Arabidopsis thaliana: one gene and its partners. The protein of the gene in region 2 interacts with the protein of the main gene of each other region in a biochemical or structural test. Each region holds a gene or a part of one and is shown on either strand. Other genes may lie near its edges. The genes, in order: GRF5, TUB1 and AT4G14330.

Region 1 (10,013 bases), on a different chromosome or scaffold from region 2:
TCCATTTTCCATCGTCTTCTTCATCGGTGTGGTTGAACCGTCCTTCTGGTGGTGGAATGTGTATAGGAAGCTCCAATGGTTGTCCCGTAGTTACTTTTCTTCCATACCCGAGTCTACCGTGGTCTCCCCGACCAAACTGATCACAGGAATCAATATAAAGGAGAGGTTTATAGATTGACTTTGGGTTTCTAACCAACAATGTTTTATACTCTCTAAGAGGACTTACCGAGAAGATCCTACCGTCTCTTGTCAAAGCGACTGAATGAGTTCCGCCACAAGAGACCTGAGAGGAAAAAAAACAATAAGAGCTTTCAAAGCTATGAGAAGAGTCAAGAACTGGTGGTTTGTACTTTTTACCTGAATGATGTCTTCTCCAGCTAAGAGATTAACTTTCTGCGGAAGCATTTTACTGCTCTTATCATTGTCACCAAACCCGAGCCTTCCATGCTCTCCTCTTCCCCAACCATAAACCTAATATTGGACATAGCCAAGTTACAACATTTTTAGAGTAAAGATCTACATCAAGCTCAGAAACAACCCAGTAATGACTCGATCAAGAGCCAGATGGAATAAAAAGTGAGACCCTAGATTAGTAAGAGAATGTATGACTTCTAATACCTCTCCTTCATTGGTTAAAGCTGTTGAATGCCATCCACCCGCAGCGATATCAACCTAACATGAATTCAGAGGAGGAATTAAACTTTAACATAGGCCTTTATAGTTCACATATCTGAAGGCATCAGTTATAATAATGAGTGCTTAAACCAGAAGTCTTAGACTACATACCAAAGTGAGATCGTCAAGGCCTTGGACAGGAATAGGATACGATCTCGGTTGTGTGTCTCCAGTTCCAAGTTGTCCATATTCATTATTACCCCAAGCCCACAAAGTCCCATCTTCTTTCAGAGCCAAGTTATGAAATGCTCCCACAGCAATCAGACGAACGTTTTCAAGACCCTGAACTCTTACAGGAACAGAAATTTGTTTTCTGCGATACACAGGAAACACCATATAAACCAACAGAAGACAAGAAAATGCAAATGTCGTATCCATAAACGAAAGGAAATTTGGATAATACATGTCACCGGGAGGCCACGGTTGACCCCAAGTCCATACATAACCTTCACGGGTTAGAACCACAGAGTGAGTACCCCCTGCAGCTACCTGTTATTTTAATCATACAAACCCGAGAACAGATGGTTTAGACAGGAAAAAAAGAGAACTAAAAATTGAGGTAAATGAAGAGAGGTTAGCAGCATAAGTAACCTGTCGGACTGTAAGTTGCTGGGCACAACGCTTAGGTATTACAATATCCCTCCGCACAGGCCTACCTGTCTCATCCTTGGAAGGCTCTTCACCACACTGTCCATATTCATTTCCACCTAAGTAGATTATATAACAAAAAGGTGAACAACTTAAGATCATTAAGATCATTGAGGTCACAATCATTAGAAAGAAGCTGAGAGAGAAAATGCATACCCCAAGCATATGCTCGGCCTTGATCATCGACAGCTAAACAATGCCAGCCACCAATAGCTGCCTATGATCAATTACAGAAACGGCAATTCAGAGTAAATCACAACGAGGAAACAGCATTAGAGCCAAAAATACTTAAATAATTGTAAGAAGTTTTACCTGAACAATCTTGACGTTGGCAAGAGACTTAACTAGACTTGGGGTGCTTTCTGTTTTTGTCTCAGGTGGGTGTCCTAATGTACCCCTTTGATTCCAACCCCATGTAAACAGCTGAGAAACCATTTAAGAGACCATATTATTTCTATATGTTGGTGACACATCAATCATAAACTACACCATGGAGACAAGAACCAGAGTCTGATGATCTATTCGAGAGTAACCTCAGACAAACATATTGGTTGCATTTTAGTTGGACTTCAGGACAAGAAAAAAAATACGAGCTTTAAACCCTTTTTAATTGGTCCTACAGATCTCAAAAACCCTATGTAAAGCGAACTAAGAAAATCTTAAAGACATGGCTTAGAATCAAATCGCAAAATCAAAGCAAAGCATTGTACTTTAGTTAGTTCTAAGCGAAACCAACCAAAGAAGACACAACAAGGACACATAAAGGAAATTGGATAAGTAACCTTGCCATCATCGCAAATGGCGAGGGAATTGCGGCTACCACCGACGACGGAGCGAACGTTGAAAGGCTCAAGAGCGTCGACGACGGAAGCCAATTCCTTTTCTTCATCGGTTCCAAGTCCTAGTTGCCCATCTTCTCCAGAACCCCTGTGCCAAAAAATCAAACGAAGGAGCAATAGCACAAGTCAGAAACAGTAATGGAGAAAAACAAAGAGGTAGAATAGAAAGAGAAATGACCAGGCTATGACGGAAGTAGCTGAAGCCATTGAAACAAAAGTGAGAGATACAATTACAAATGAGAGAGAAAGAGATATATATGAAGAAACTCAGTGGAAAAGCAGGGCACTCTCGGTGGGATTTCAATTCGAGATATTATTATGTGAATGTGTCATTACATTAATTATTTATTTTGGACCAGTTAATGTTACCTCCCATTCCCATGTCATTTATTAATTAATCCAACTTTTTAGCTTATGGTCATGGAGGATTTATGATTTGTAATTCCATTATATGTGTTACCTAACAGTTGTTCCAAACCGAAAGAGGCTTTATCTTTCGTTTAAAGTTGTGAAATTCCATTTCTATTTCGTTTCATTGAACAACTCTCTTGAGTCTTAACCAATTCCATTTGGGGAACATTCCACCTAGAGAAGCATAATCTAAAAGACAACTAAACCCCAATCAGAGAAGGAAGCAAGTTTTCAACTTTTAGACCGGACCATGTAATGCAATGCAGTCTAATAGTGAAACCGGCAACAACGACAACAACCAAAACATGTGAGAAGCACACAAAGAGTTTTAACCATCGATAACCAAATCATGCAGCTACAATTACTACTACAAATCCATGTTTAAGGAAACTACAGCCCATGTTTAAGGAAACTACAAGGTTTTTTTCTGTTTAAAAACACAGAACCAAGCCATATATTTTTTTGTCTGCAAATCATTCCATGGATCTGATTTTATCACTGCGAAGGTGGTGGTTGGGCTTGTTCATCAACTTTCTGCACCTCTTTCGGGGCTTCCTTGATATCATCACCAGCTTCGTCCTGGAGATTAGATATTAGACACAAATGTTATGCGAAAACCAACAAGAATCTTAACTGCATGATGCAATCACTAAGATATTGCTAACAATGATGAGTGTAAAGAGAGACAAGTACATTGAGGTCAGAAGTCCAGAGGGTGAGATTGTCACGGAGAAGCTGCATGATCAATGTACTGTCCTTGTATGATTCCTCTCCCAATGTGTCTAGCTCCGAGATTGCCTCATCAAAAGCCTACCACCATGAAAAATCATATTAGTAACTAAACAAAAGGTACTTGAATCAAACTAGAATCCGAATGTGAAGGTTGTCCAAATTTCACTAGTGTATGGAACCATTCACAGGATCTAGTTTCCCAATTCTGCCCATCATCAAAATTAACTACAACCCTATCGGTCAGGCTATGGTAAGCAATCTACAAACCATTACTAGAACATATGGAAAGTCTACCCACATGGAAGTGTAACAAGTTAACTACGTAACACGTTTTTGCCACATTATGAACGATAGATAGAAAAAAAGAACCTCTTATGTGCTAAGTTTAATCAAGCAAAACAGTTGGAATATAGGTTTGTTAGTTAATGACAGAAAGCATAGCATAAATGAAAAAGTAACACAGACCTGCTTTGCGAGACTACACGCACGATCAGATGAGTTGAGAATCTCATAGTAGAAAACAGAGAAGTTAAGAGCAAGCCCCAGTCTGATTGGGTGAGTGGGAGCCAGATCAGCAAGAGCAATATCCTACATAAAAACACAAACACCAATAGCATGAGACAACATGTTATCTTAGCACTCTATATGGTTAAGAAGAAGAAACAAGATGATAACCTGAGCAGACTTGTAGGCAACAAGAGTGCTCTCAGCAGCTTCTTTCCTCTCAGCACCAGTCTTGAATTCAGCAAGGTACCGATGATAATCTCCCTTCATCTTCAGGTAAAAAACTTTGGACTCAGCCAAAGAAGCAGCAGGAATGAGATGAGCCTCAAGAAGGTTCAAAATGCCATCACAAATCTTGCTGAGCTCAGTTTCAATCTTGCCTCTGTAATCCTTGATAATCGAAACATGATCACTGTTGCCCCTGCTATCTTCCTTCTGCTCAATGGAAGAGATAATCCTCCAAGAAGCTCTCCTAGCACCAATCACGTTCTTGTAAGCAACAGACAAGAGATTCCTCTCTTCAACAGTAAGTTCCTCGGTCTCCACGGTCTTTGCAACTTTCTCCATGAACTCAACCATTTCCTCGTAACGCTCAGCTTGCTCGGCTAACTTGGCCAAGTACACATTCTCTTCCCGGGACGAATCAGAAGACATCTTTGCAATACTCTTTTAAAAACCTGTTTTCAACAAGAAAATATCAAGCAGCAGCAATAAACAAAGAGCACGAAATAGAACTCAGTAATGCTGCAACAATCTTGCATTCAAGAGCAACGATAACAATCATCTCTAACAAAATTAATCCACGCACCCAAAGAATAAAAAACTTTGACAAACGATTTACACTGCTAGATCTATCCAAAATCGATAGAACGAACTTTGAATCCTACAGATCTTGAAGTGATGACCAAAACGCGAAGATCAACAACATATCAACAATAAACGCAGAAAACGAGAAGCAGAAAAAACATTGTCGAAGTATGAGCAAGGAAGATCGGAACCGTACCTTGAGAAATGGGAATTTTCGAATTAGGGCTTTTGAATTCGAAGCGAAATTAGGGGAAGTGAGAAATTTGGGGGAGACGGTCTCGTGACCATTAAATGGGAAAAGAGTAAAGAGAGAGAGAGGGGCAACGACCCAATTAAAATACGACACGTGCTAATCTGTTGACCGTCAAAGGACTTAATTCTCGTCCATAATTTTAAATTGAAGTGGGTGAAATGTGACGAATCATAAGTTAATAAGGTCATTCATATAATACAAAAATATTAAGGGGGCAAAATGGCAATATAAGTTAAGTTTCCTTGGGGTAAATGACGGATTTACCCTTTGCCCTGAACCCATTTCTAGTCCCCTTTGCCCTTTTGATCGAATTGATCGGAGAAGGCCGGAAAAGCTCGAAGGTCCGTCGTCAATGGGTAGCTATGTGGAGCAAGCTCGTGAAAATCACGTGAAGAAGAAGGTCGAAGAAGGTAATTTGACAATGTCGTGACTTCTTCATCTCGCTATGTTTTAAAACCCTAAACCCCCAAATGGTTTTTTTATTGCCTCGAAAATGAGATCAACCATATCGATACTATTTAAGCCTGGTTTCTTATCATAGACGCAGATTCTTTTGCTAGATTGAGGATTAGGGTTCTCATAAACCCTTGGTAGTAACTCCATATTTTGCATCTGATCTAGCAAGCTCTCATTGAGTGTGTCAAATTGCTTCTATGAATTGAGCTTATAGATTGTGTTGAAGTTGAAATGGTGATGGTTTTTTTTTGTTAAATGGTTGTTTGATTGATTATGTATATACTTTGTTATTAGCGCTGCGTAGCAAGATGAAGGCAAAGGCATTAATGGAATGTGATCAGTACGTCTCCAAGTATGCTCAATGCGCAACAGGAAGAACTTTTTCTGTGGTATGGACATGTCGTAAGCAAGCTAGGGAGCTCAACACTTGCCTCCATCAATTGTAAGTTTTTCGAGTTTTTAGTGCTCCTTCCATTAGAGGTGTCATCTTTTTTTCACTGTTACGTATAAAGATTTGTTGTGTATGGGGGCATCTGATTTTGATTATTCTTTCTTAATACCCTTCACTGGTAAGTCTGATATGATGAAATGAGACAACTTGTGGTTAGGAGATGCATAACGTTATCATGACGTACCAGTGCTAGTATATATATGTAACCAAATATAAGCTTATAGAAGGGGATGATTGATGATTCTTTGATACTGCGATAAAAGAGAAGTAATAACTATCTTCTATATCGGTGTAGCACAGTCTTGTTCTTGGTGCACAAGTTCTTTTTATGTGACTCCCTAATGAACGTCTCCCTTGTTGGGCCGATGCTTAAATGTTGTCTAACCATGAAACTATTTTGTTGATTCTGCAGCACCAATGACAATGTCTTGGAGGAAATGAAGAGAGCGTATATGGTTCAAGAAGAGGGTAAAGTCTCAGCCTCGGCCATATAGATGTTTGTTGAACAAAAGATTTGAGTACGACCAATATAATGTCCTCGCTTTGTTTCTTGTTCATTGCGAACCAAAATATATCCTTTTTTATAAATAAACTGTGGCCTTTCTTAAATATGGGTGTATTCACTAAATCTAGAGATCAGATTCAAATAGATTTTGTATTACTATTTTTTATCATTTTGCAAAAGATCCACTACATCTAAAGATCAGATTCAAATATGTTTTTCATTGCCAAAAAGAAAAAAAAAACATATGTTTCACAATATTCAGGATTTACACCAAGAAACAAAATTTGAGGTGCTTACAAATTAGAAACCAAGTTAAAAGCAAAGGACTTCAAGCAGTAGGCTTCCTCATATTTCTGCCTGCACGAATCACTTCGTCCACCAAAAGTAATTGCGACGCAATCACTGGCCTGCAACACAAACAAATAGCCGGTTATTGAAATGGTTTCAACCGAAACCCAAAGCTTTTATTAGAATTGACTAGTTGGGTCGAACATTACCCTGAATTGATAAGTTGGCGTTTCACTGAGTAATTATCAAAAATACCAGCAAGCTGCGGGTCAATAGGTTCACCGTCCTGAAGGTTCAGTCCCACAACGTTCCCTTTGTCATGCTCGCTCTGCATAAGCGCATCACAATGAGCAATTCTAATTCTTTGTTCCTTCAACAATTGATTTCAGTTTGCAGAAGATGATAAGAGAGATGAATGCATACCGTAAGAGAAATGATCACATCTTGGGTATCAAGACCTGCATTTTCTGCAAGTGTCTTAGGCACCACGAGAAGGGCATTAGCAAAAGCTTCAACGCCAAGTTGGGCACGCTGCAATGTTCATGATAGTATTAGCAATTTAGAATATTGGGATGCATTAAGTAATGTTGCGAGAATTAGAGTACGAGTGAAGAAATCAACTTACCCCTTGAACGGTTTTCTTGACTTCATTGAGTAAGTGTTGCCTTGCTGCAACTTCAAAAGCTCCTGCTCCCTACAGAAACATGCAACCACACATTAACATAACGCAAAACATATACAATAGGTCTATATGCTAACCTTACCCAGGGTTTTGATCACGAATTAACAATTTCTTTGATATTGCGGAGAAACATAAAGCAATGTTAACAAAAAAACTTCAAGATATATAAGGTACTTACTAACACAACACACTCGTCTTCTATGGTGTTCTTGACCGATCTCAGACCATCACGAACAGCGTCCTTAATTTGGGCAATAGTGTGATCATTAGGCCCTACAAAACCCAAGAAATTCATGAATGAACACTAAAACTACTAAAAGAACAAATGAACCATCAAAACTTAATGAAGACATAAAAGTCGTCCTAATACCTTTTATGAGGATGGTACATGAATTAGGATTCTTCACTTGCTCCACAAAGGTGTACTTTTCCTCCCCAAGAACGTGCTCATAGACAAGTCCAGCCCATCCAAGAGACTCAGGGGTCAAGTCGTCAACAGAATTCACAGCTTCTCCACCACAGGCCAAAACTAAACGTTCCATGTTCCTCCTCTTTGCTCTTCTAAGACCAATAATCTGGACACATGAGGAAAGGTAATTAGATTCAACAGCTTCTAAACAAGAGAAATTAGGTACAAAAGAATAGACAAGCTCAGTCAGTGTCCCAGAACTAAAAACTAATGCTGCCAATCGTCTCCATGGATTATTGTATATCGAAGGAACTACTCTTTTAATATTACTGGCAATTTCAATTCACTTAATAACACATTCTTCCCTAGTATCTTTCTTCTTGTTCCTAAATATCACAATTTCAGCGATTTGTAACATAAGTTTAAATGCAAGAAAACACAGAAGTAGCTTACCCCTTCTCTAGCAAGAAGATCCAATGATGGTGGGTCAATACCCTTCTGATTTATGACAACAAAGTTGTCATTATCACCACACACCTGCACAAGAAATAAAACATGTATTAGTATTTTTTACAGGGTTTTAAAATAAAACTTGGAGAAATGGTCGCAGTCCCACCTTCTTCTTCAGCTCAATTATTTTCTTAACTCTTTCATCAACAGATCGCCTCTCTGCGGTAACCATGGCTTCCCTCTGCTCCGCATTAGAGTAGAAAAATCCTGCATTGATTTCACTGATAGATAAATAGAAATATTAGTCCACATCACCAGAAACATCCAGGCCTTTACTTTCTCTTCGCCAAATTGACCAAAGAATTATATTACACACCTCTTCTCATACTCTAGTGACACATTGCAAGTTAAGATGTGGCAATTTTCTGCGCGTCGTTTCATGTCAGGGTGTCTCGAACCATGATCCAGAACAAGCCCCTCAACCTAATTCAGAATTAAGTCAGTGTTTCCAACAGGTCCATACTATAAACCGGCAAGTATTTCATATATAAACCTATAATGAGGGAACTATTTTACAATAAATTAAGTCAAGACATACCAATCGTGTGTCAACATCGAATTTGTGACGCATGTGCATTATTTCCACCATAAACAGATCAATAGCTTCCTCAGGCTTTCGGATGCAAAGAACCTGTAATGTGAGGAAAGTAGATAATTAGAAGACAAACAAGCTCGAAAACCAATATTGGTGCATAGATGAGTCCTCATCTGTGTGAACAAAAAAAATGAAAAGAATAAGTGAGATTCCATTAGAGAACAGTTAACTCACCGAATTGACGACAATGTCAGTCAGTTGATCAGCTAAGCCTTCGTACAACTACACAATCCACAAGAGTAAATCGAAATTAGAAAACGAAAAGAAAAATCAAATGAAAAGAAAGATAATCATAAAATGAAGAATACTTTTGTTCTTAGTGTCGTTCTTGCAACCATTTTTAGGATCTCTTTATCAACTTCATCACCCATAACAACAGGGGTCTTGAAGTTGTCAAGAAATTGAAGAGTAGCTCTCTTAGCAATCTCGAAACCATCAACTAGGACTCGTGGATGCATACCTGATACAGTATAAACCTTCATTAGGATTCTGGCTACAAAACTAGATACCAGTTGTGCATTTTCTATACCCAATATAAACAAAACTTGGCAAATCAATGTCGCTGAATACAAATAGTTGGTCCCCACTAATAACACATAGATTGAGAAATAAAATAAAAACAAGCATATAGGAGTATAAAACTAACGAACTCTCAGCAAACAATTAGCGACTTACCTTCATCGATGCAGCGTTCAGACTGTTTCATAAGCTCACCAATGAAGATAACAGTGGAAGTAGTACCATCACCACTTATATCATCCTGTGCAACAGCTGTCCTCGCAATCATAATGGCTGTTGGATTCTGAATTTGCTGCAACAGTTAAGAAATCAGAGTGTAAGCATCATCGAACCAAGATAACTTGTAAAGGAGCATACCAGTAGCCCATATCAACACCAAAGATTATCCGGCAGTATCTTAATCCTTTCGTCTATCTTATCTAGCGTAGTACTAAATGACACAATTCACGGGCTTCTGAGCACCCTTCAACACTAAAAAGCCAAAACAGAGCTCGATTCTAACAGATCAATACGATCTAGATTGATTTTAAAAGATCAAACTCACCATTTCCTTCAATAGCGTGTTCCCATCTTTGGTAAGCTTAATATCCCCAGAACCACCAACAAGCCTGCATCGAGTGAGAAGCACATGAGGAATTTGAAGATAATGAACAGTATATACATAGATCAGATTAAATCAAGAGGATAAAATACATTTTGATTGTTCCTTTAGGACCGAGATTCGACTTG
Region 2 (10,365 bases):
CCCAAGAAATCTTATTGATTATATGATGATGTGTTGATGGGTGAATGAGTACTGATAGAACAACACATGGAATAACCTGCAACCATATTTAAAAACTCTTCACAACTAAACACTTCAACAATGAAACTCAAAGTGATTAGCAAAGGAAATCTAACAAAAATGATCACATATGGAAACTAATGGAACTAAAGGTTGCTACTTTATAACCCTTTTCAAATATATGATTCACATTCTTCAAAAACACAAGTTGAGATTCTCGAAAAAGAACCAAAAAAGGAAAGAAAGAAAGAACAACTTACGACGTAGTAGATAGCAAAATTGTCTTTGTCGTCCATATAACTAGCTTTGAGCTTAAAACGGATCATATAGATAACAAAAAGTGTAGTCACCAATGTAGCCGAGTCAAGTAACGTGTGAATATCAAACTCCATCACAAAACTACAATACAGTCTCACCGCCAAAAACAGAGCTGTTAGCTCTTGTGACTTGAGAGATAATCCTGTCAAAACATATCATTCAAAGATTGCAACTTTGTACGAATTCAATAGCATCAAACAAACCCTAATTCGAAATCGAAACAGATCAGGGGAAAATCAAATTCAATAATCACTAATCCACTAATCAAAACCTAAATCTAGAAACTTCAAAATCAAGAAATCGAATATACCAGCACAAGTCCTCTCCTTGGTGAGTTTATAGATAAGGACGGAGATTCCAAGGGAATGAACAGCTTCAGCAGCGACAAAAAGATTGTCGTGGTCATGAACAATCACTCTCAACAAAACGAGGGCAGTCATGGCGGAGACAACACCGAGAAAACCTTTAACCTTTGGTGGTTGCCGACGAACCCATGTCGTCACGGCGTGGATCGGCCTTGTTGCCGCCTTCATCTTCGATTTCAATCTTGCACTCTCTTTCCGAAAATAGAAACAGTAAAGTCGAAACCTTTAGGAACTTGGTGCGGTGATGATTGTATAAAACCAGATCTGTAGCTTTTATGTAAGAGATTGATCAGGTGATTATGATTATTATTACACTGTTTTTTTGGATGTGGAGTGGGAAACTGGAGAAATTGGTAACGCACCCATTGCTAAAAATCACTCCTTTTTTCTTACAGAACAAAAAAGTCCAAAAGTTTTAACACTTTATGACGGTGACACGTGGATTGTTAAGTATGTTTAGGTGGAAATTAGATTCGTGGTAAGCCAACGACTCTGGTTTAATTTGTCTCTTTGTATTCATAGAGAAACTTTATTGAATAGGTTTTCTTCAAACTTAATGTAAGTTCATTTCAAAATATTTGTAATGAATTGTTAAACGATTATAATTGGATTGTGTAGTATTGATTCATAATTATTTGTATTTTTTTCTTGCATAATTTTATGTGTTGTAAAATGATTGTTTCTACGGCTATGTAAATATCTTGTTTTCTGATTTTAGACTGTATCAGATTCCACAAAATGATTATATTAGTTAGAGTGGTAATTATTAATTTAGTATAGTGCTCTTAAAATGTACTGAGGTGATCAATCCACTAACACTCCCCAAATCTTTGCAGAATCAGTTTTGATCTTCAAGAATTTGATTTGGAATATACGTGCGATAATAGTAATTAAGATTAAACAGTAGATGAAATAAAAATTAGAGCTTTAATTATAAAAATATAGGTTATAGGAAGTTTTAGATTTGATTGATGCAATTATTTCAATAATCGATTTGTTTTTAATAATACAGCTAAACTCTTTCCAATATCTAAATACAATCCCACTTTCCCCTATTTTATGAGGTTCTTGTTCTCCTAATCTTTCCTCTAGTGGTGTTGATGATTATCTCTAATATAGTCAGAAATCAGAATTGTTTTCTTTTCATCCTCAAGTCATTTGCCACTGAACAATCAAATGAAACTTGGTGAGTCAAAAACTCCAAACATAAAAACTAATTAAGAAAAACTCAACACACCTCTCTTACCAAACTTGTTAAGCTCATAACATTCAACATTGGTTTGCTTCATCAGAACAAAGTCTTGTGTGAGTTTTGCTAAGTTTGGAGAAAGAAAGAGACCACCATTGATTTTTGTTGTAACCCATTGCCAAAGCCCAATTTGGATGGAAATTAATATTATACCATAAAAAAAAGATATGAAAGTCGAAAAAATATCAGAAATAAAAATAATTTTTTGTATTTTTTTACATGACATATTGGGGATTAATCCTATTTTTTTACTTCCAAAATTGACTGAAATTAGTTGGCCAAAAAGGTAGTTACGACGAAAACAAGAAACTCGAAAATAAAAAAAATAAGAAACAAAAGACGAGAAAAGAAAATTTAACCAAAAAAATGTACTGACACGTGTCATAAGCTTAGACCCATCAAATTATTATATGAAAAATAAAAACAAACAAAATCTTCTGAGAAAGATTTATCTCATTAACCCAATCGTTTCAAGCCGGGAAGAAGAGAAGACTATTCATTCGTGTCTCTCTTCATTCAATGTCGAAGAAGAAGAAGACACAGAGTTTATCAATGGAAGATCACCGTGACGGCAAAGGCAAGAAGAGAGATGATTTTTTCGATAGCATTGACTACGAAATTTCTTCTATCTTATTGCAACTTTCACATCCTGTCATATTCTCTTCTGATTCTCCTGTGTTACATAAATGGGGTCGCACTAAAAAGAGGTCTTCTTCTTCTTCTCACCTGCATCCGCCGGAACCGGTGATAAAATCGCTGCCGTGTATGGCTGATGTCGGCGATATGGGAAGTAATTCGAGTTCTTCGTGCTTAACCGGTGAGGCCAAGAAAACCAATTCTCAAATCGTAAGTCTTAATTTTTCTCAGTTTAAACAGAGACTTGTTTTTCTTGTGTTTGTTCTTAAATTTTTCTAATTTGTATCTGTGTAAAATTCATTATGTGGTAAATTTGGTATTGAGTAATTGTTTTTTGTGTTTGTTTTTGATATAAACGACAGATTAAAAAGGGTTTAGAAGAAGAATTTTGTAGGAAAAATCAGAGTTCTTCAGTCCTCGAGGTGTTCATTGTTACCTTTTTATTTTTTGTTTTCCCTTTTGTATAAAAAAATGTTTAGCATTTTTGATATTTGTTTCCGTTTTGATAATATTCTGTGGAGATACAGGCGGAGACAGGTTTACTTAGGGAGCAAGCTGGTTTAATAGCCCAGCCCATAAGATACGATCAACAACTACCGTTTTTTGCGGTTGATCGTACGGTCAATGTGAGGGATGTTGAAACGGCGTCGTTGCGAATGGATAACTTGGAACGACGTGGCTTTGATCTGAACCTTCTTCCAGCAGCAGAGGAGGGTTTTCAGAGAGTGCCAAATAAAGTCCAAGTAGCTGCTCAAGCAAGACAAAGAAGACTAGGTTTGATTCGATCTAAGAAGCTTTTTAATAGATTCATCTCTTCTTATCAATTTAAGTAGTTTTTGATAAACCTTTTTTTGGGGTGATAATTATATAGCAGAAATAGCAGGATTTTGTAACGAATATGCAACCAAGTTTCCAATGTTTTGGTTGTCTATACTATAAACTGAAAGGATTCTAAGAATCGTTTTTTTGAATACTATGAAATAAAAGGCTAAAGAGGGAGATACGTGGACAGACTCTTTATTATAAAGGCAATGAGAAGAAAAGAAGAAACTAAGTTGCAAAATACAATAAGAGAGAACCACAAAGATAAAGTAACAAACAAACAAACACATTTCCCAGATTCTTCAACTTGATACATGTATATATATATATAGTGGTAATAGTAGGAATAGAGATTTCAATAAAAGAGATAGAGATGTGACTTCTGTGTTTTTTCATCTTTTGGTTTGTGTTGTAAGATCAAGATTCGTAAACTTGTTCTTCTTCTTCATCATATTCGTCTTCTTCATCAGCGGTAGCATCTTGGTATTGTTGGTATTCAGAGACCAGATCATTCATGTTGCTCTCTGCTTCAGTGAACTCCATCTCGTCCATTCCTTCTCCTGTGTACCAATGCAAGAAAGCTTTACGCCTGAACATAGCCGTGAACTGTTCGCTTACTCTCCTGAACATTTCCTGGATCGAAGTCGAGTTTCCGACAAACGTGGAAGCCATTTTGATTCCAGTTGGTGGAATGTCGCAGACGCTGGACTTCACATTGTTTGGGATCCATTCAACAAAGTAGGATGAGTTCTTGTTCTGGACATTTAGGATCTGTTCGTCCACTTCCTTTGTGCTCATTTTTCCTCGGAACATGGCTGAAGCTGTGAGGTAACGTCCGTGGCGTGGATCAGCTGCACACATCATGTTCTTAGCGTCCCACATTTGCTGTGTCAGCTCCGGGACTGTGAGAGAGATGTACTGTTGAGAGCCACGGGAAGTGAGAGGGGCGAAACCAACCATGAAGAAATGTAGACGAGGGAATGGGATAAGGTTCACGGCGAGTTTCCTAAGGTCAGAGTTGAGTTGTCCAGGGAATCTTAAAGAGCAAGTCACACCACTCATAGTTGCGGAGATCAAGTGGTTCAAGTCTCCAACTGCAAAATGTATATATATATATGAACTCTTAGAATTTAGGAACCAAGAAAACAAAGTAACAAACATTAAGGTTTTGATGGTACTTACAGCTAGGAGTGCTGAGTTTGAGAGTGCGGAAACAGATATCGTAAAGAGCTTCGTTGTCGAGGACCATGCATTCATCAGCATTCTCTACAAGTTGGTGGACTGAGAGAGTTGCATTGTACGGCTCAACGACTGTGTCTGAGACCTTTGGAGATGGGAAAACAGAGAATGTGAGCATCATTCTGTCTGGGTATTCCTCACGGATCTTTGATATCAAGAGAGTTCCCATTCCTGAACCCGTGCCTCCTCCAAGAGAGTGACATACTTGAAACCCTGTAATACAGAAATGTTAAGAACAAGTGTGAAACAATGTACTACAAAACTAAAGAAGTCCCTTATACCTAAACCAGATCCAAAAAGTATTGAGATGTTATTTAACAATTGCTGAAACCAATCATGACCCACTTGCTTATTCAATTATATCCCCACAAAGTGATATGTTTCACCTCGAAAGTGTCAACACAAGAGTATTCCCTAAAGTTCTTATTATAAAATTCGATATGGTTTTAAGGTTTCACGTGATATTGTTGATCCACAGTCACAAATCTGGAACAAAACATTAGGGGACACTAATACACTACCGCCAAATTAGGATATTGTCCTTAGTTTCAATGATGTTAACTTTTTACTATAAAGAATAGACAAAATCTAAATCCTAGCCAATCATTAAGTGTTAACAGCTCACTCTTAAACAGTAATCAACAGGAGAGAAACACCATAAAAACGCAAATCAAACACAAGAACATCGACGGATCATGTTCATGTAATTCATAAACTGTAATTGGAACCATGACCATGAAGAGATCAATGAAGAGAAACGTTAATCAAATATCAAAACACGATATGTGAGAGATTCACTAGTGCAATGCGAAGATGATCAAAAATCAAACTGAAATCGAAATCATCGGTTACTAAATATGCAACTACATTAACACTCACGAGACGAGATTTAAATGATCGAAACCATCGGATAATTGCAGTTTTGATTCACAAATCAATCAGATAATATGATCAAAGCACCAGCAGATTCATAAATCAAAAGGGAGAAATCGATTCATATATATACCTTGAAGGCAATCACAGTTCTCAGCTTCCTTACGAACAACATCGAGAACAGCATCAATAAGTTCAGCACCTTCAGTATAATGACCTTTCGCCCAATTATTTCCGGCACCGGATTGACCAAAGACGAAGTTATCAGGACGGAAAATCTGACCGTAGGGACCAGATCTGATACTATCCATAGTACCAGGCTCGAGATCCATGAGAACAGCACGAGGAACGTAACGACCACCAGAAGCTTCATTGTAATAAACATTGATACGTTCGAGCTGAAGATCGGCGGAATCACCGTTGTAACGTCCGGTGGGATCAACGCCGTGTTCGTCGCAGATAACTTCCCAGAATTTGGAACCGATTTGGTTACCGCATTGGCCGCCTTGGACGTGGAGGATTTCTCTCATGATGATGATGATCGATGAAGATTTTGGGATCTGGAGATGGTGAAGGAGAAGAAGGAGGAGAATAAGAAGGGAGAGGGAGAGAGAGAGGCGGGAGAGTTTTTTTTGGGAAGTAGTGACAAAATTTGACAGCGTGGGGAAGATGGGATCTTTGCCAGCTTTAACCGTTTGTTCGTTTTTTATCCTCTGTTTTTTTTACTATACTCTCTTTTTAAAAAAATGTTTTTTTTTACCATTTGACTTTTTTGCTGCAAACAAAAATGTCACATATTGTTGTTAGCACCGTCAAATTGAAATTTCTACAAAGTGAATGATTAATGTTATTTAAGATATTGTTGAATTATATCGTCCATTTAACTATTTAAGTGTGATAGCTTTCAAGTATCGATCATTCATTCTAGTTTCAAATCTTGATCCATTTGATGAATCTTTTACTATTCGAATTTCATCACGACTAGCTACAACCACCCTTGATTATATGTTATGACTTCTGAAAACATCGAGAAACAAAAATTCAATAATAGTGCGTAGAAGAAGACGATCAATGCGTAATGAATACAGTAACTTTGCATGTAGTATCTTAGTTGTTTTAGTGACATAGCACATGTAGCAAGACGTAATAAACGATCTGGAGATCTTGAATGCATATGTACCTATTTCTATGTAAACGATCAAACACAATAATTGAAATCGGTTGAATGATCAAAAGTATAGAAAAATATCATCACACTGATTGTGTTTGGATCTTTTATACAATATTGATGATAACATGAAAAACAAATAATGCCATAGCACATGTAGCTAGGTAGATGTAGACTGTAGTAAGATCTGAGATTTGATCCAATTATTTTTTCATTTTTATTTATGTCATGGTCGATCTACTGTTTATACGTAACGTCAAAATCAATAATTGAACTTGTAAAAGGATCCTATATTTTTTAAAATATATATTTGTTCTTGGTAAATTACTTGCTCCCAACTTATTGTGAAAACGTATGTCACTCAAGGGAACATAGAGGAAATGGGAGCACGTTAGCTGTTCGTATGTGGCTACAATATCTTCTTATAGAGCACGTTAGCACTCACCAAGTCAAAACAGACCTGGGCCGGTTTGCAGATAACAACTGTGTGAGCCCATTAAAATCTAAAACGGCATCGTCTAGTAGTCTTTAGTCGCAATCAAACCACAAACCCTAAGATCATCTCTTTAAATTACCATCCGTCTTCTGCAATTACACAAGTGATTCGAATCGCAATCAAACCACAAACCCTAAGATCAACACAGATCCTAATACTCTCTGATCATTCCTTTAAACCGTTCTTTAGTTTTGCTAATTAAAATAGACTTTTCTAGGTTTTATTATTTCAGACAATTAATTATTATCGAACTTTGCCACAACGGATGACATTTCCCGGTATCGGATTTTCATCTCTAACCGGAATAGTCGAAGGATCTTCTTCTCCTTCACCTTTAACTCTCATATAAAGCTCTTGACCAAGATACCATTGCTCTGCTTTCTGTGATCTCACGTTCCACATTCCTTGATTATCCATAGCTATCAATATTGCTGTCCACGAATATGGATAAACCTAAACACACACAGAATCAATTAACCAAAACTAATCACTGGTTTAATACTTTAAATTACGAGATTAGATATGGCTTAACCTGAACTGTTGACCGTGAAACAGCATCTACTAAGTTATATCCAGCTTTTTTGCTTTCAGACCAAGCTCCAAATCCATATCTAACATTAAACTCAAATAAAATTAGTACACCTAATTTAATCATCATACACATAATTATGATTTAAATATTGTAATTTTTACCCGACAACGAAGAAATTGTAACCATCGATGTGATAACTCTCCAATCCAAATAGAGGGTTCTGGAACACGATGTGGATGAAATCTTTGTAATGAATATCGACCACTGAAGTTCCAAGAGTCGGTGTTTTGTTGGATGGATAAACCGGGAACATGCCAGGGATTATCGTGTCATTTAGCTGAAAATGATCAACGAGCTTTAACGGAGTCTCGGGGTAGACAAACGAAACGCCGTTAATCGTATACCGTAGTTTGCCCGACGATAACATAACGTCGTTATGTAATATTATCGTTCTGGTTACGTTTATTCGTCCATAGTGGTACGAACCTTGAGGGTTCGATCTTGCTGCTCCAACGTTCAGGTCCATTCTGTGTCGTACACTTAACGTTTATTAGTCAAGAACAAATACTAAACGAAATATTTCATATAAAAGTTTTTATTCTTTGGTATAAAAAAAGAGTATTTCTTTACCTAATGGAAAGGGCTTGTTCAACTGAGGAACCAAAATCTTGCAAAGCAGGTGCGAGTGGACCTTGTCCGACTGGGTCAAGTGGGGAACCGGGATATCGAATTAAAGCTATACCGCCAAGGTAGGAATCAGTGAACCGAGCTGTGGCGAATATGTAGTAAGACCGGTAAATTCCAACCGGGTCGGTTTTGGCAGTGACAAGAATAGAGTATGATTGGCCTACGTGGATGTCCAGGCTCGAGTAAACACGTTTTTGAACATACGTACCCTCTGTCTCAACTAGAAGCATATCGTGGTCTTGGATTCTGAAGTTTAAGCATGTTTTGAGACCCACGTTTGATATTCTTAGCCTATATGTTTTGCCTGTGATTATATATAGACAACATAAAAAGAACATTTGTGTGTAAACTACATTATTAAAGATATAATGTAATATTTTTAAAAGAAGAAAAAAACTCACCTGGTTCAAATGCAAAGAAGGTCTCTTCAGGGCCACGCCCGTTAAAAAGAATACCATCAGGATTTGGCAAACTGTGACCAGCGTCAAGTGAAGCTCTCATAACCTTACACCAAAATTTGGAAACCAAGTGTTAATTATGCAAATCAAGCAAAACATCTTTTACAATGAAACTAATAACACATTCAATAAATGGGCAAGATAAAACTCAATAACCAAAATGATTATGATCTACAAAATTAGTTTTTTTATATATAAAAAGGATAGTATTGGAATGTAGGTTTGATGATAATACGGTAATTTATCAAAGAAACATACTGTATGGTCGAGATAAAACCAATCTCCAATCAAGATGTCGTATTCTTCGTCGGGCTTAGGGAATGGGACTGGGACAAGTTCTGGGGGATAGATTCTAATAGCACCGTATCCTCCGGCAGCTTTCTGAAGTAGAAGGGTCGGAAAATAAAAGTAACTTCCAATTTGATCCTTCACCTGAAAACGGTACGTCCAATTTGTCCCCGGTAGTATGGGACAGTTTGTCCCTCGAACTCCATCTTGCCACGAGTTCTTCCGCAATTGCAATCCATTCCTTTAATTTACATAGAGGTTTAATAACAATTATTCCTAAAATTAACCCAAAACAAAAAGTTGAAAATATATACCAAGTCATGAGGAAGGGTTCGGGCAAATTGTTGAAAATGTTAACGACAATGATATCGTTTGCTGTTGCATTAAGGATCGGTCCAGGGAACATGTCGTTGATCACTATAACCTATAGATTTTTTTTTTGGTGAATACTATAACCTATAGATTGATCATGCATCTGAAATTTCATATAAGATAGCTAAAACCATATTATTGTAACAAATAAAAACATATTCAAATGAAAATGGTTACCTGCTTGTTGCCTCCAAGAATGAAACGTTGAGAATACGAGACGACCCATTGATACGATGAGATTGGTGCAAACGCATAGCTCAACTCCAAGATGACCAAAGAGATCAGAACCAACACCTCGACAAAGACATGTCTCATCGCGAAAAGAGTGATTTAAGAAATTTTAAGATGCTTGTGATGTGAAAAAGAGGTGTTAGAGGCAAGACGTAGCTACATATTTTTCTTTGGAACAATATATTAATTAGACGACAACTATTGTTACTCTGTTTGGAGTTAACGTTTGTTTTGTGCTATGTTTTTTGAATATGATCGAAAAGTTCATGCAATCTGCATTTCCAACCTAATTTATGGGCAGCACATTTGTGCTTTTGTTAAAATTTGCTGGGCTTATTCATTATACTAAACCATGCATAAAGGCCCATTAAATATCTTATTGTAATGTGACGGACGAAAAAAAAAACGTGAGGGAGGACGATGGCAATTGCTTACGATATATTGTAAAGTGGATGTGACCTGTCTGTCTACACAATATTACAAAGATGGTCGCTATTACTCCTACAAAAAATAATACAACGCAAAACAATTATTGAAAAATTATTCATCACTTTTGTATCTTTCAAACTTTCACAGTTCACACCACCTAAAA
Region 3 (10,955 bases), on a different chromosome or scaffold from region 2:
GATGTTTTCAGATGTCCAGTAGTTCTGACATAGCATGATTTTACGTTTTTGCAGACTCTTTGCAAGTCGTATCCATCAGAGTTCACATCGTACTTCCATTACTGTCGTTCATTGAGATTTGAGGACAAACCGGATTATTCATATCTGAGAAGACTTTTTAGGGATCTTTTCATTCGTGAAGGTTGAAACTTCTTGCTTTGTTTGTTCTCTATTCACTCTCTATTATTAGATTGTTTATGGTCTATGCAGTCTAGTGGGATTAAAAGAATCATCTCTAGCTTTCTTATACGCATTTAATGGAATGGACTATGCAGGTTATCAGCTTGATTATGTGTTTGATTGGACAATCTCGAAGTATCCTCAGATTGGCTCTAGTTCGAGACCAAGGGTTAGTTCTATTATTGATTTAACGTGTGGAGAACCAAGTCTCAGAACAATTGAATAATCCAAAATCTTATCCTGCTATGTGTCTATCATTTACAACAGCCAACTCCAAGACCAGCGTTGGACCCTCCAGGACCACCTGCAGAAAGAGCTGAAAAGCCTACAGGTACATTGATGTTCTCTGTCTCTTATATTGGAGGGACGAATACAAAGAGATATATCAAAAAGTTTATTTTAAGTTGTAAATTTATGAGACAGTGTTGACAATTTTGGGTGCTGAAAAACGTGCACTATCTCACTTGACCCTTCAGATATTAACATTCATATGTTGTTTCCCTTAGAAGATTTTGAATTTGTGTCCAGAGATTTAATTAAATTGTTGAATAGTGGAAGATCTCAAACTGAGAACTTCTTTCCCTATTCTGTTTAGTCGGACAGGACCTGCGAGGAAGATTTACAGGTGCAATTGAGGCATTCACCAGACGAAATGTTTCAAGCCAAGGCGCTCTTGGTGATCGCTCTAGACACAGATCTTCTGATGATATACCCTCTTCTGCCAAGGAAGTGGTTAGTTTGTGTTGTTATTTCTCTTGTTGTAATGATCCAAAGTAATTCTCAGAATAAGTAGGGAATCAGAACATGAGAAAGTTTGTGTGTTTTGATTTGCTGGCTTCATTTGCAGCACGAGTCTCGAAATGGAAGTACCTCAAAGAGAGGTGTGATATCAAGCACCAGACCTGGCTCATCAGCTGAACCAAGCGAGAACCACTCAAGCCGACTATTTTCAAGTGGTTCACGTCATGCCACAACCCAACGGGTTCCACAGAGCTATGAATCTGCAGCTGCAGCAAGGCCTGGGCATGAGGATGCCATTAGAAACTTCGAGCTCCTTACCATCGGCTCTGGAAAGAAGAGGAAATGAAGATAGGGAAGGAGAAGTTTGATGAGAGTGAAAAGACAACATTCGGTGCTGATGGCTCTCTCCTCTGAAAATAGGAAAGACATGTCCTCGAATTGTTTTTTAACCTTGGGAACAAGATGAGAAAGTGAGAGAGAGAAAGAGAGTTAATGTAATCTGCCTCTCCCAATCTCTCAGTCTCTGTTTTTAAAAGAATCTGTTAATAAAGCTTTAAAGTGTAACTTGTCTCATGTGTACTTCAATTTTCTCCTCTTTCTGTTCTCTAAAACTTCGATGTGGAAGTAAAATATGAAAACCTATCTCATCTAGTCATCTTCTCCAACCTTTTAAACTGTATATCGAAAACCAACGTGCCTAGTCAGTCATATTATGGTCGAATAAAAGAAAGTTTTAGACTTTGTTGACAAATCTTGTTGTACAACTTGAAAAACACTCCATGCTGATGGCTCTAGTCACTCACTTTGACTGCTGAAAGTGGTCGTACATAGCGTTTTTTTTCTCAACACCGAGAAATAGACAGGCTACATACATCTTTCAAAATAATTGAGTTAATTGGTTGTTGTTCTGTATTCAGCTAATGTAATAAAGATGAATCATCATATATTATCCATAAAAACATCAATAACAGTGGTCTTTTACTTTGGAGATAATGAGGTTGCAGAAGAATTGAGTTAATCTAGTGTGTAACTAAGAAAGTGACTGAGTACCTGTAGATAAAAGAAGACATTTGGTCAATGCATGCATGTGAGCATATTGAGAGATAGGGCTTAACTAATGAAGTTGCTTTTCTATAATAGGGCTTGGCTTTCCCTTGCAGTTGCAGGTAATCTTTGCTTCCGGGATATTGTTATTTTTAAGAGCCTTTGAAATTTTTGCCCTTGTTTTTGGTGTTCACGTTATGATGATGATCATAAAGATATTGGGGTTGGAATTGAATAGGGCTTTTGGAATTTGTCCATATGTTACAATGACAGAGAGAGGTAAGAAGTAGCTCTATGTGGCTGCAGCATTCTCTCTACTTATGTATATGTTATAAGTAGAACTAAGCATCCTTTGGGAAACACCAGTTATACGTTCTGATAAACACCACTCTGCTGAAACATCGTAGAACATATATATAGCTACAAAAGTGGTCGTACATAAGAGTTTTTTTTTTCTCAACACAGAGAAATAGACAAAGGCTGCTACATCTTTCAAAAGCTACCTTTGGACAGACAAAAGAAGAATAGAGAAAACAAGACATAGCGACTAATGTCTTCTGAGAGTGATGAATGGAGTGGAGCTGAGATGAGCTACGAGATTGGGTGATGAAAATTCATCAACTTGATGGTTCGGTGTCACTTTTGAGATGGGGGTAACTTCCATCATGTTTTCTATGGGATTAAGTGGAAGTGGGCTTGCAGGTTGAAGACTTTTATGTTGTGAGCTCTTTCCTGGTCTCAAAGTGGCGAGGTATGCGTGTCCGTTGCAGAGAGGTAGGCTCGTAGCTTGAACTGTTGATTCTTTCTCCTTTGCCACTTGAGCTCCACATGGTTCCTTCATACATTGAAATAACTGCATTTAGGATCAGAGCATAACAAACAGATAAAAATGAAAAGCTTTTTGTGCTTGTTGGTTCAAGTTTATTACCCCGAGCTTGAGAAAGGTAAAAGCCTGATTATCAGATCCAAGGTAGATCTCAATAAGCTTCCTCAAGTCAGCTAGTGTTGCATCCTTTGTAACTCTCAGTGTTGTTATGAGCTTTCGAGGGTTATCAGCAGCTGTTTCCCATTTAACATAGATATCTAGCTGACCGTTTTCCCTTTGATCGACTGAGATATTGTTTTCCTTTGCTTCTTCTACTGCTAGTGCTTCGGCCTTATTCGTAATAGAAAAGAACTGATTGTCTTTCTTATCAGGTGATGCAATATTGGCTTGATCCTCCTCCTGTCCACTGTGTTGAGACAGCTCTCTCTGATTGCCACAAAGGGTGAAAATGTTTTGAATTCTCAACCTTCTAGACGAGGCTGATTCCTTGTCATCTGCACCGTTGAAGCAGTTCTCTTTACCCAAACCTTCAGAGTTCAAACTAGGCATTGGTGTTGTTATCAAGCAGATGCTTTTATCCTCGACTATCACTTTTTCTTCCTCTTCTTCAACTTCTTCTTCTTCAAAGACAGTGCTCAAGCATACCCGGTCAGGATACATCTGTGTAAGCATATTCTCTGAAGGCTTCGGTTGCAAAAGGTTAGTGAAGTTGCTACTAATAGTGTTGCTTGATTGGTGTGAAACAGCTCCCCACACTTGCTTGACAGGTTCTGGATCACCCATGTCAAGGTCCATTGACTTCACCATACCAGGATCATCATCAGAGTAAAGACTCCTGAGTCTTTTGGCAAACCCACTAGTTTCATCAACACTTCCTCCATTTGAGCGGCGGAACTCAACCTCGATTTCCTCTAACCGTCTCCTCATCATCTCCAGTTCCTCTTGCTGCTGAACTATCCTTTCCTCCATTCTCCTTCTCTCCATCTCAACAAATTCCTCAGCCATTCTTCGGCATTCTTCAAGTTTCTTATCTAGTTCCGACTTCAAAAGCTGGGTTCTCTCGTTTACTTTCTCTTTTATCTCCTCTTCATTGGTAGCACAAGCTTCCCTCTGTGTTAAAAGAGATCTTAAAGCAGCAACTTCCTCTTCCTTCTTCTTCAGCTGCTTTTGTGCCTCATTCCTTTCTTTTTCTTTTTGCTTCTTCTCAGACTGGAGTTTGATAATGAACTCATCCATGGCAGCTATTCTTGATCCCAAAATCACAGCAGAAGCAGACTCATCACCCCCATACTTATCTTTGTTTGGAGTATGAGACCCACGAACTATGCACTTTGCTTTTGCCCCATACTCTAGAGTACAGAGAGTCTTGTGCATTTCCTTTGGATCCGGGCTCGCACACAGGATCATTAGAATCTTTGACTTGTCATCTTCAAAAGAGTCCTGCATTCAGAGAATAGAAACAACACTAAATATCTTCAAGAAAACCAAGCAACACGTAAAACATTTTCCAGAAGATAAAACAATGGAACAAGAATTTCACCTGGAGAAGCATGGTCAGCTTGCTGTCTCTAAAGGGTACATGAGAATCTCCATTTGCTATAGATTCCACAACTCGCTTCAGTGCAATATTTCCCTGGTTGATCTTAGCAGTCTGTTGAATAATGAGAGATATAAGTCAGTTGATATCCATAACTACAATAACTTTAGTAGAATCAAACAAATTGAGAGAGGAAACATTACTTGCATCTTAGCTTCAAATCCAGTCTGCCCAGCTTGGTCTATATTTTCAGAACCAGCCATGTCAACAAGCATCAATCTTCCCCCAACAGTTGGCACATCAAGTATGATCTACAAAAAGAAACAACCACACTAGTAAGTTAAAACAGAGATAAGCTGCATAAAGCTATGCATACACATCAATCAAGAAGATCGTTCTTACAATGCAGTGACTCCGAGAACTTCTTTCGTTACAAAGTGTACTCTTCACAATTCTCCGTTTCTCCACTTTGACAATTTCTTTAGAAATCTTCCCAGCCTCTGTCCCAGAAATAAAACTTGCGTTTTTCGCCTTTTTCCCCATTACTTCAAGCCTCACCTGTAACAAAACAACAAAGTACACACCTTTAAAGCCAATTCAATGTATACTAAAGTTATCAATCAAGAAACTTTACCTTAGTGCTTGCTCCTTTAGGCCAACCAATACCTAAATTGTTACTACTATTAGTCGAAAGAAGATCATAAATCTCCTCATTATAAACCTCAAGAACAGTAACTTGAACAAAAGTAACACCATCTTGATCAGAATCTCCCAATATATCTCTCAAAGAACGATACACAATCCCAGGCTCTTTCCCACAACCAAACATAGTATGACTCTTTCCAGCACCAGTAGGTCCATACATCATAATCGTGCATTTATTCCCAACTTTCACTCCTTTAATCCTCTCTTCTATAAACTTCTTGTAGAACTCTTCAAGACCTTCTTGCTCCGAGAAAGAAACACCGTCGAGTGTGAAGTCTCTGTACCCAACATCAGCTCTGACTCGTACCGTTTGATTATCTGTGTTGACTTGTAAGATCGAAGGTGATTTCTCTTTCCGGTCAGGGTAATCTCGGATCCGGCCGATTACTTCAACTGGATGCTCCGGTGGAGATGGATCTTTAGATCCGTCTGGGTTTGGGGTTTTTGAGTGGAAATTGAGACGTTGTTTTGTTTGTGGAGTTCTGATTAAGGTGTATTGAGTTTGATTTGATCTTGAAGAAGATGGTGTCGGTGCCATTGTTGAAGAAGTTTCGAAAGAGTGAAATTGAAATTGAGATTCAGAGAGCGTTAGAGAGAGAGAAAATGAAAAAGGGGATTAGGGTTTGTGAGTGATTCACGAGGTTTGAAGTTTGAAACAAAGAAACAAACATAACCGTTGTGTTGTATCTCTAAACGGCTAGTTTTTGTCCACGGGCCACTGATTATTAACAATTTTTATTTTCGGCAACTAGAATATATTTACTTTCTTTTAAAAAAGGGAAGTGAGATGGGCCTGACTTTTTGATTAAGTTAATGGGCTTTTTGTGTTTATAGAGGCCCAATGTTTGTAGTATTAGGGTTTTCTCAAATGTCTCTCTTATAAGCTCTGTTACTTTAGGTTTTTATTAAAGGTTTTGCGGCAGTGGAAGACGACGGCACGAGCTTCACCGAAGAGCGAAAATGGTGACTCTCTTCTCTTTCTTTATTTCTGCTAAATTTCTCCTTGGTTACTATTGAAGAACGAGATTATTGATTATAGATCTGCTGTGTGATTTTTCTTCTTCTTTAAGTTGTTTATTTCTGATTTTGCATCTTAAATCGAGAATTATTAGAGTCTAATTGTGATTTTTAGAATCTGTTATGTTGCATTCTGTGTTGTAAATTCGAAGATTCAGTTCACTTCGTCTCTGTGAAGAGTTTTAGCTCCAATCTACCAGAGATTCAAAATGATATAGTGTTATGTATCTTCATTTGTGTTGCTGCAATTCTGTTCTGATTTTTAGGAGAATTAAGAAGGATTTGTACTTCAGGGACTTGTAGGATTCACAAAATGGTTATCAATATTGACTAGTTGAGTAGTCAGATCGTATGGTAGCAATTAATTCTGAATGATTTAGGAGAAGCAGGAAATTTTATTAACAAGTTTTAGGGTTTGTTCTGAAGGGCGTATTTAGATTCACTTCTATGATCGTAATTAATTCTGTATGCTGTTGAAACTGTATCTTGTGGTAGTTTTAAACTTGGTTTTCTGTAGGTGAACATTCCGAAAACTAAGAACACTTACTGCAAGAACAAGGAGTGCAAGAAGCATACCTTGCACAAGGTGACGCAGTATAAGAAAGGTAAAGATAGCCTTGCTGCCCAAGGAAAGCGTCGTTATGATCGTAAACAATCTGGTTATGGAGGTCAGACCAAGCCCGTCTTCCACAAGAAGGTATACTCGCTTTTCCTTGTCTTGATCTCTAATTACTGTCTTCTATGTGAGAACCAATTTAGGATTTCAGAATTGACTCTGTGAAATATGTCTTATAGGAATGATTTGTTAATTGGACCTTGCTCATTATTTGTCTTTCTTTGGAACAGGCTAAGACAACTAAGAAGATTGTGCTGAGGCTTCAATGCCAAAGCTGCAAGCATTTCTCGCAACGCCCGATTAAGGTAATGTCTGCGACATTCTTTACCTTTGTTAATCACTCTTTAGTCTCAGTTCTGTTTCTTACACTTTGTGTGTGGTTTTTGCAGAGGTGCAAGCACTTTGAGATCGGTGGAGACAAGAAGGGAAAGGGAACATCTCTCTTTTAAGTTGTTGTTTCATCTATCTACTTTTTTTTGTTTTGTTTGGTACCTGTCCTGCTTCAATACTGTGATATACTTTGAATCTACCAGAAATGGTCCTGGTTTTTAATTTAAATAGGACTTGGTCTTATGGATGTCTTTTAATTTGGTTAACCAATCTTTCTTCATTAGGCTGCCCTTGAGTATTCTCTATAACTTGCGACAAAGTAGACATAACACTCTTTAAGTTCTAAAAACCACTTTCTATTTTCGGATCTCGAAAAATCATTTATCGTTTTGTGCTGCAAATCAGTGTTATATATGAGCTTGGCAAATTAAAATGACATATACGTATAGAAATGAATTGATAATACTAAATATTATTTGTTTTCTTCTTTTAACTTCAGCCATACTAACTTTCACTAAATTTCTTAAGAGCATACAGAAGTTTCTCCTCGGTATATTGGTGGTTCTATATTCCCCGCAACGTGAATGGAAAATGAAGGTTCTATTTTGGCTATATGATAATCATGCCATTAGCTGACCCGAAACTAATGTGTTACAATAAAACCAAATTATATAAATAGAAGAACATGTTTCCTGGCTCCTTATTGCACAAAAGAGAACATGAACAACTCTTTTTATATTACCATGATAGTCCTATGTGTTTTGGCCTTTGTGTTAGTTTTAATTGAGAGCTGTGCGGGCAAAATGGTAGATGAGATGATATTCTCTTGTGTCTGCTGTGGTGGTCCTGGCTGCTGTGGTGATAGAGGAGAAGGACCTGTTGGTGGTGGTATTGACAATGAACCGGTGAATGTAGTAGTGGTGGTGGTGGAGCCAGGCAGCCAGCGGCGGAAGATGTGGTGACGGTCAAGGATGCTACTTCAGTTTTTCTTTTTTTACTTTATTATACTTAGATTCTGGTACTATATATATTATGGGTATAGATAATTTACACTAAAGTTTTATTTCCGTTATTTAAAATTCGTGTTTTATTTAATCTCTAATTTTCTGTTTCCAAGTCGAATTCCTCTGTACTAATTATACGGCCTTTTAATTTTACAATATGAATAGCCATTTTCTACTAACACATTCTTACCTTTTAGAGGTGTTAATTTTAAGGTAAGTTTCTTCTCTACAATTACGTAATATCATTCAAATCTGTTCATGCTGACAAAAGTTAGGTACTTTTGTGTATATTTCTCGATCATTGACATTGTCTACTACGCTAATATCTAAGGAAAGTGGCATCGATTCTACTTGCTTGTAAAACATACATCGCGATGTAAGTCAAATTCTCTAATAATGTAAGAAACGAAGTGAGAAAGAAAGATAAATCCAAAAAATTTACTTGCAAATCAATAGAGATCCAAACCAACTGCGCATGCGTTAGTCAATTGATATATTGTATATAATAGAACAAATACAATTTTTGTTTTTATAAATGTATAACCAAAAACGTAAGAGCAATACTATCGAAATAAATACGTACTGCATATTACACGATAATAATAGAAAGAGATTTGATGTTTGATCACTTGGAAGTAAAATGGAGATAGAGAAACACAAAGAGCAATACGACCGGAAACATCAAGATCATTGGAAGAGATGGTGCAGTCACCGGTCCCATCATCAACGGAACAAACAGTAACATTAGTGCAACGACAACAATCGCCAAAACCGAACCCATCCCGAATCCATACTCATTCGCCATTTTCGTCTACTTTTCGATAGGAGTAGTGATCAATTCTGTGTTAGTGTCTCTAATTGGAGAAGTTATATATACACAGATTCAGACATCAAATCTACGGTTGTGTCGTTTCCCCGAGAAGTAGAAGACAACGTTTCGTGTACTAATGCATGAAACACAAAAACTGGCGAGACCTTTCACGTTAATAACCACCTCAAAACGCTGCGTTTCGGTTTATTTGTTGCTGCCACGTGTTTTAAAAACAGCATACCCTAAACGCATCGTTTCGTGTCGCAATCAACTATTCAACTGTTACTGTATATTTTATTAAAAACGCAGCGTTTTAGTTAACAAAATTCGTGTCGCTATTTCTACACTGCCACGTGTTTCAAAATGTCGCGTTCTGCATTTGTTGCTATCACGTGTTTAATAAATTTACCTAAACGCTGCGTTTCGTTAATCAATCGACTTTTTGAACATTCGCGATCTCCAAAAATTTTGAGTTTTTTTTTTGGAAATCCCGCCCAAATATTTTGAAATTGAAACTCTAATAAATTTGTCGGCTTGTGGAGTTGCGGTAGTGATATCCTCCATTTATCGTTTTGTGCTTTTTCTTCAAAAATCAAAAGCTTTTATTTTTCCCCCAAACTTTTTTTTCAAAATCCTAAATCATTTTACCCTACGATTTTGCAGATGTCAGCTTCAACGAATCGCCGCCGGCTAAAAGATATAAACACCGGCGCCGGTGAAAATCCATCATCTGGTAAAAAACCATTGAGGTCTGTAACTCCACTTCCGATCTCAAGCAAAAATTCAAATCCCGCTCTTCAGAAATCATTATCCAGCAAAGAGAATCCGAATCCGAAGCTTAGTCACCGCTCATTTGGATCGACTCAGAAGCCAGTGCTCCGGCCTGTACCGCGCATTGATAAGTCCGCCGTGAGTGGCGAGGGTCGGGTTACGCGATCCACGTCATCTGGTTTGCGAGGTAGGAGTTCTAGTCCATCTGATTTGATTAGGGTTTTCTCGGATTTGAGAAAGAGAAATGAATCTAGGGTTATTGGGGAAAAGGGTGAATCGGGTCAGGATAAGAAGTCTGGGCTCAAGAGTTCTGGATTCAAACAGGGTACGAGTGAAATTAAGGTTGAGCCAAGTAGTGTTTGTGAGAAAGCAGATGAAGGAAGTAGTTGTCCAGTGAATTCAAGCAAATTTGAAGGTTCTAGTGTGGCGAGAAATTCAATTTCTGATCCAAAGGCACATGCTTTAGTTGGTTCTGGAGAGAAATCTACTGTTGCTTTGAAATCTGATAGTAAGATTGAAAAGACTGGGAAAGGGACTAGTGTAGCTTTAAGAAGGAAGTCTTTGGATAATGTTGGGAAGGCAATGGAGATGTCAAAGGATATAAGAGGAAATGAAGGAAGCAGCAATAGTACTGCTAAGTATCCAAGCAAGCTGCACGAGAAGCTTGCTTTTCTTGAAGGAAAGGTTAAGAAAATTGCATCAGATATCAAGAAGACAAAGGATATGCTGGATTTGAACAATCCGGATTCGTCTAAGGTTATAATCTCTGATATACATCAGAAAATCACAGGGATTGAAAAGTCTATGAGTCATGTTATTGATGGTCCAGAGAAAAACAAAACTACGAAAGCAAAAAGTTCTGTGAAAGGATTAAATAAGGAAGAGCTGGAAGACAGACTCTTGCCTCACCAGAGGTTGCTAAGGAGCAGAACTCAGTCCAAAACATCTTCGCATGTCTCAAAAGGCCATGATTCTGTTGAGTCCAACAAGGCAGTGAATGCTGAAGAAAAGCCGTCAGCTCCTGTTGAGGAGAATGCGATAGCTCTAGAGTTCTTGGCCTCACTTGACAAGGAAAAAGTCACATTTATGAGTGATCAGAATGCGCTGGAAAATCTGGAAGTGCAGGAGATGGATACAGAGGAGCCGTCAAAGGAAAATGATGTCTCAAAAGACGTCAATCTGACTTCCAACTTAACTGAAATTCTTAGAGCAAACGAAGCCCTCGAGGAAATTGATGATGAAGAGAATAGAGAGGAGATGGAGCTGGAAGAAATAGATGATGGATGCATGTATCAACTCAATGACATTGGGTCCAAAACTTCTACAGGAGGATG

What was found.
Region 1: the proteins of TUB1 (region 2) and GRF5 form a complex in vitro, tested with the Arabidopsis thaliana proteins (one study listed by BioGRID).
Region 3: the proteins of TUB1 (region 2) and AT4G14330 form a complex in vitro, tested with the Arabidopsis thaliana proteins (one study listed by BioGRID).

The regions. Positions count from the first base shown.
Region 1 is NC_003076.8:5,240,940-5,250,952, forward strand, and holds GRF5 (general regulatory factor 5), read right to left. Parts: upstream 4,900-10,013; 5' UTR 4,813-4,899; intron 4,804-4,812; exon of another isoform or gene 4,618-4,803; intron 4,487-4,617; 5' UTR 4,464-4,486; coding exon 3,981-4,463; intron 3,894-3,980; coding exon 3,771-3,893; intron 3,384-3,770; coding exon 3,267-3,383; intron 3,153-3,266; coding exon 3,069-3,152; 3' UTR 2,616-3,068; downstream 1-2,615. Other genes in the region: AT5G16040 (Regulator of chromosome condensation (RCC1) family protein), read right to left, coding at 1-136, 227-283, 358-471, 619-672, 787-988, 1,079-1,164, 1,267-1,382, 1,480-1,540 and 3 more; AT5G16060 (Cytochrome c oxidase biogenesis protein Cmc1-like protein), read left to right, coding at 5,222-5,279, 5,620-5,767, 6,189-6,270; AT5G16070 (TCP-1/cpn60 chaperonin family protein), read right to left, coding at 6,610-6,688, 6,779-6,897, 6,993-7,100, 7,195-7,263, 7,430-7,524, 7,622-7,826, 8,114-8,197, 8,277-8,391 and 7 more. UniProt on the Arabidopsis thaliana protein: Is associated with a DNA binding complex that binds to the G box, a well-characterized cis-acting DNA regulatory element found in plant genes.
Region 2 is NC_003070.9:28,447,532-28,457,896, forward strand, and holds TUB1 (tubulin beta-1 chain), read right to left. Parts: upstream 6,290-10,365; 5' UTR 6,072-6,289; coding exon 5,675-6,071; intron 4,882-5,674; coding exon 4,612-4,881; intron 4,524-4,611; coding exon 3,847-4,523; 3' UTR 3,607-3,846; downstream 1-3,606. Other genes in the region: AT1G75760 (ER lumen protein retaining receptor family protein), read right to left, coding at 1-76, 300-499, 668-890; AT1G75770 (uncharacterized protein), read left to right, coding at 2,491-2,817, 2,970-3,029, 3,135-3,440; AT1G75785 (protein TUB21), read left to right, coding at 3,944-4,167, 4,198-4,261; sks18 (SKU5 similar 18), read right to left, coding at 7,449-7,658, 7,738-7,816, 7,899-8,264, 8,368-8,728, 8,826-8,928, 9,141-9,411, 9,485-9,594, 9,720-9,857.
Region 3 is NC_003075.7:8,238,883-8,249,837, reverse strand, and holds AT4G14330 (P-loop containing nucleoside triphosphate hydrolases superfamily protein), read right to left. Parts: upstream 5,786-10,955; 5' UTR 5,611-5,785; coding exon 5,002-5,610; intron 4,926-5,001; coding exon 4,770-4,925; intron 4,679-4,769; coding exon 4,571-4,678; intron 4,482-4,570; coding exon 4,371-4,481; intron 4,271-4,370; coding exon 2,933-4,270; intron 2,840-2,932; coding exon 2,552-2,839; 3' UTR 2,344-2,551; downstream 1-2,343. Other genes in the region: CKI1 (casein kinase I), read left to right, coding at 55-181, 315-388, 487-550, 815-951, 1,067-1,306; AT4G14320 (Zinc-binding ribosomal protein family protein), read left to right, coding at 6,033-6,035, 6,607-6,786, 6,936-7,010, 7,095-7,116, 7,813-7,997; AT4G14315 (uncharacterized protein), read right to left, coding at 8,665-8,844; AT4G14310 (Transducin/WD40 repeat-like superfamily protein), read left to right, coding at 9,514-10,955. UniProt on the Arabidopsis thaliana protein: Probable plus end-directed motor protein that may contribute to the transport of Golgi-derived vesicles in the phragmoplast.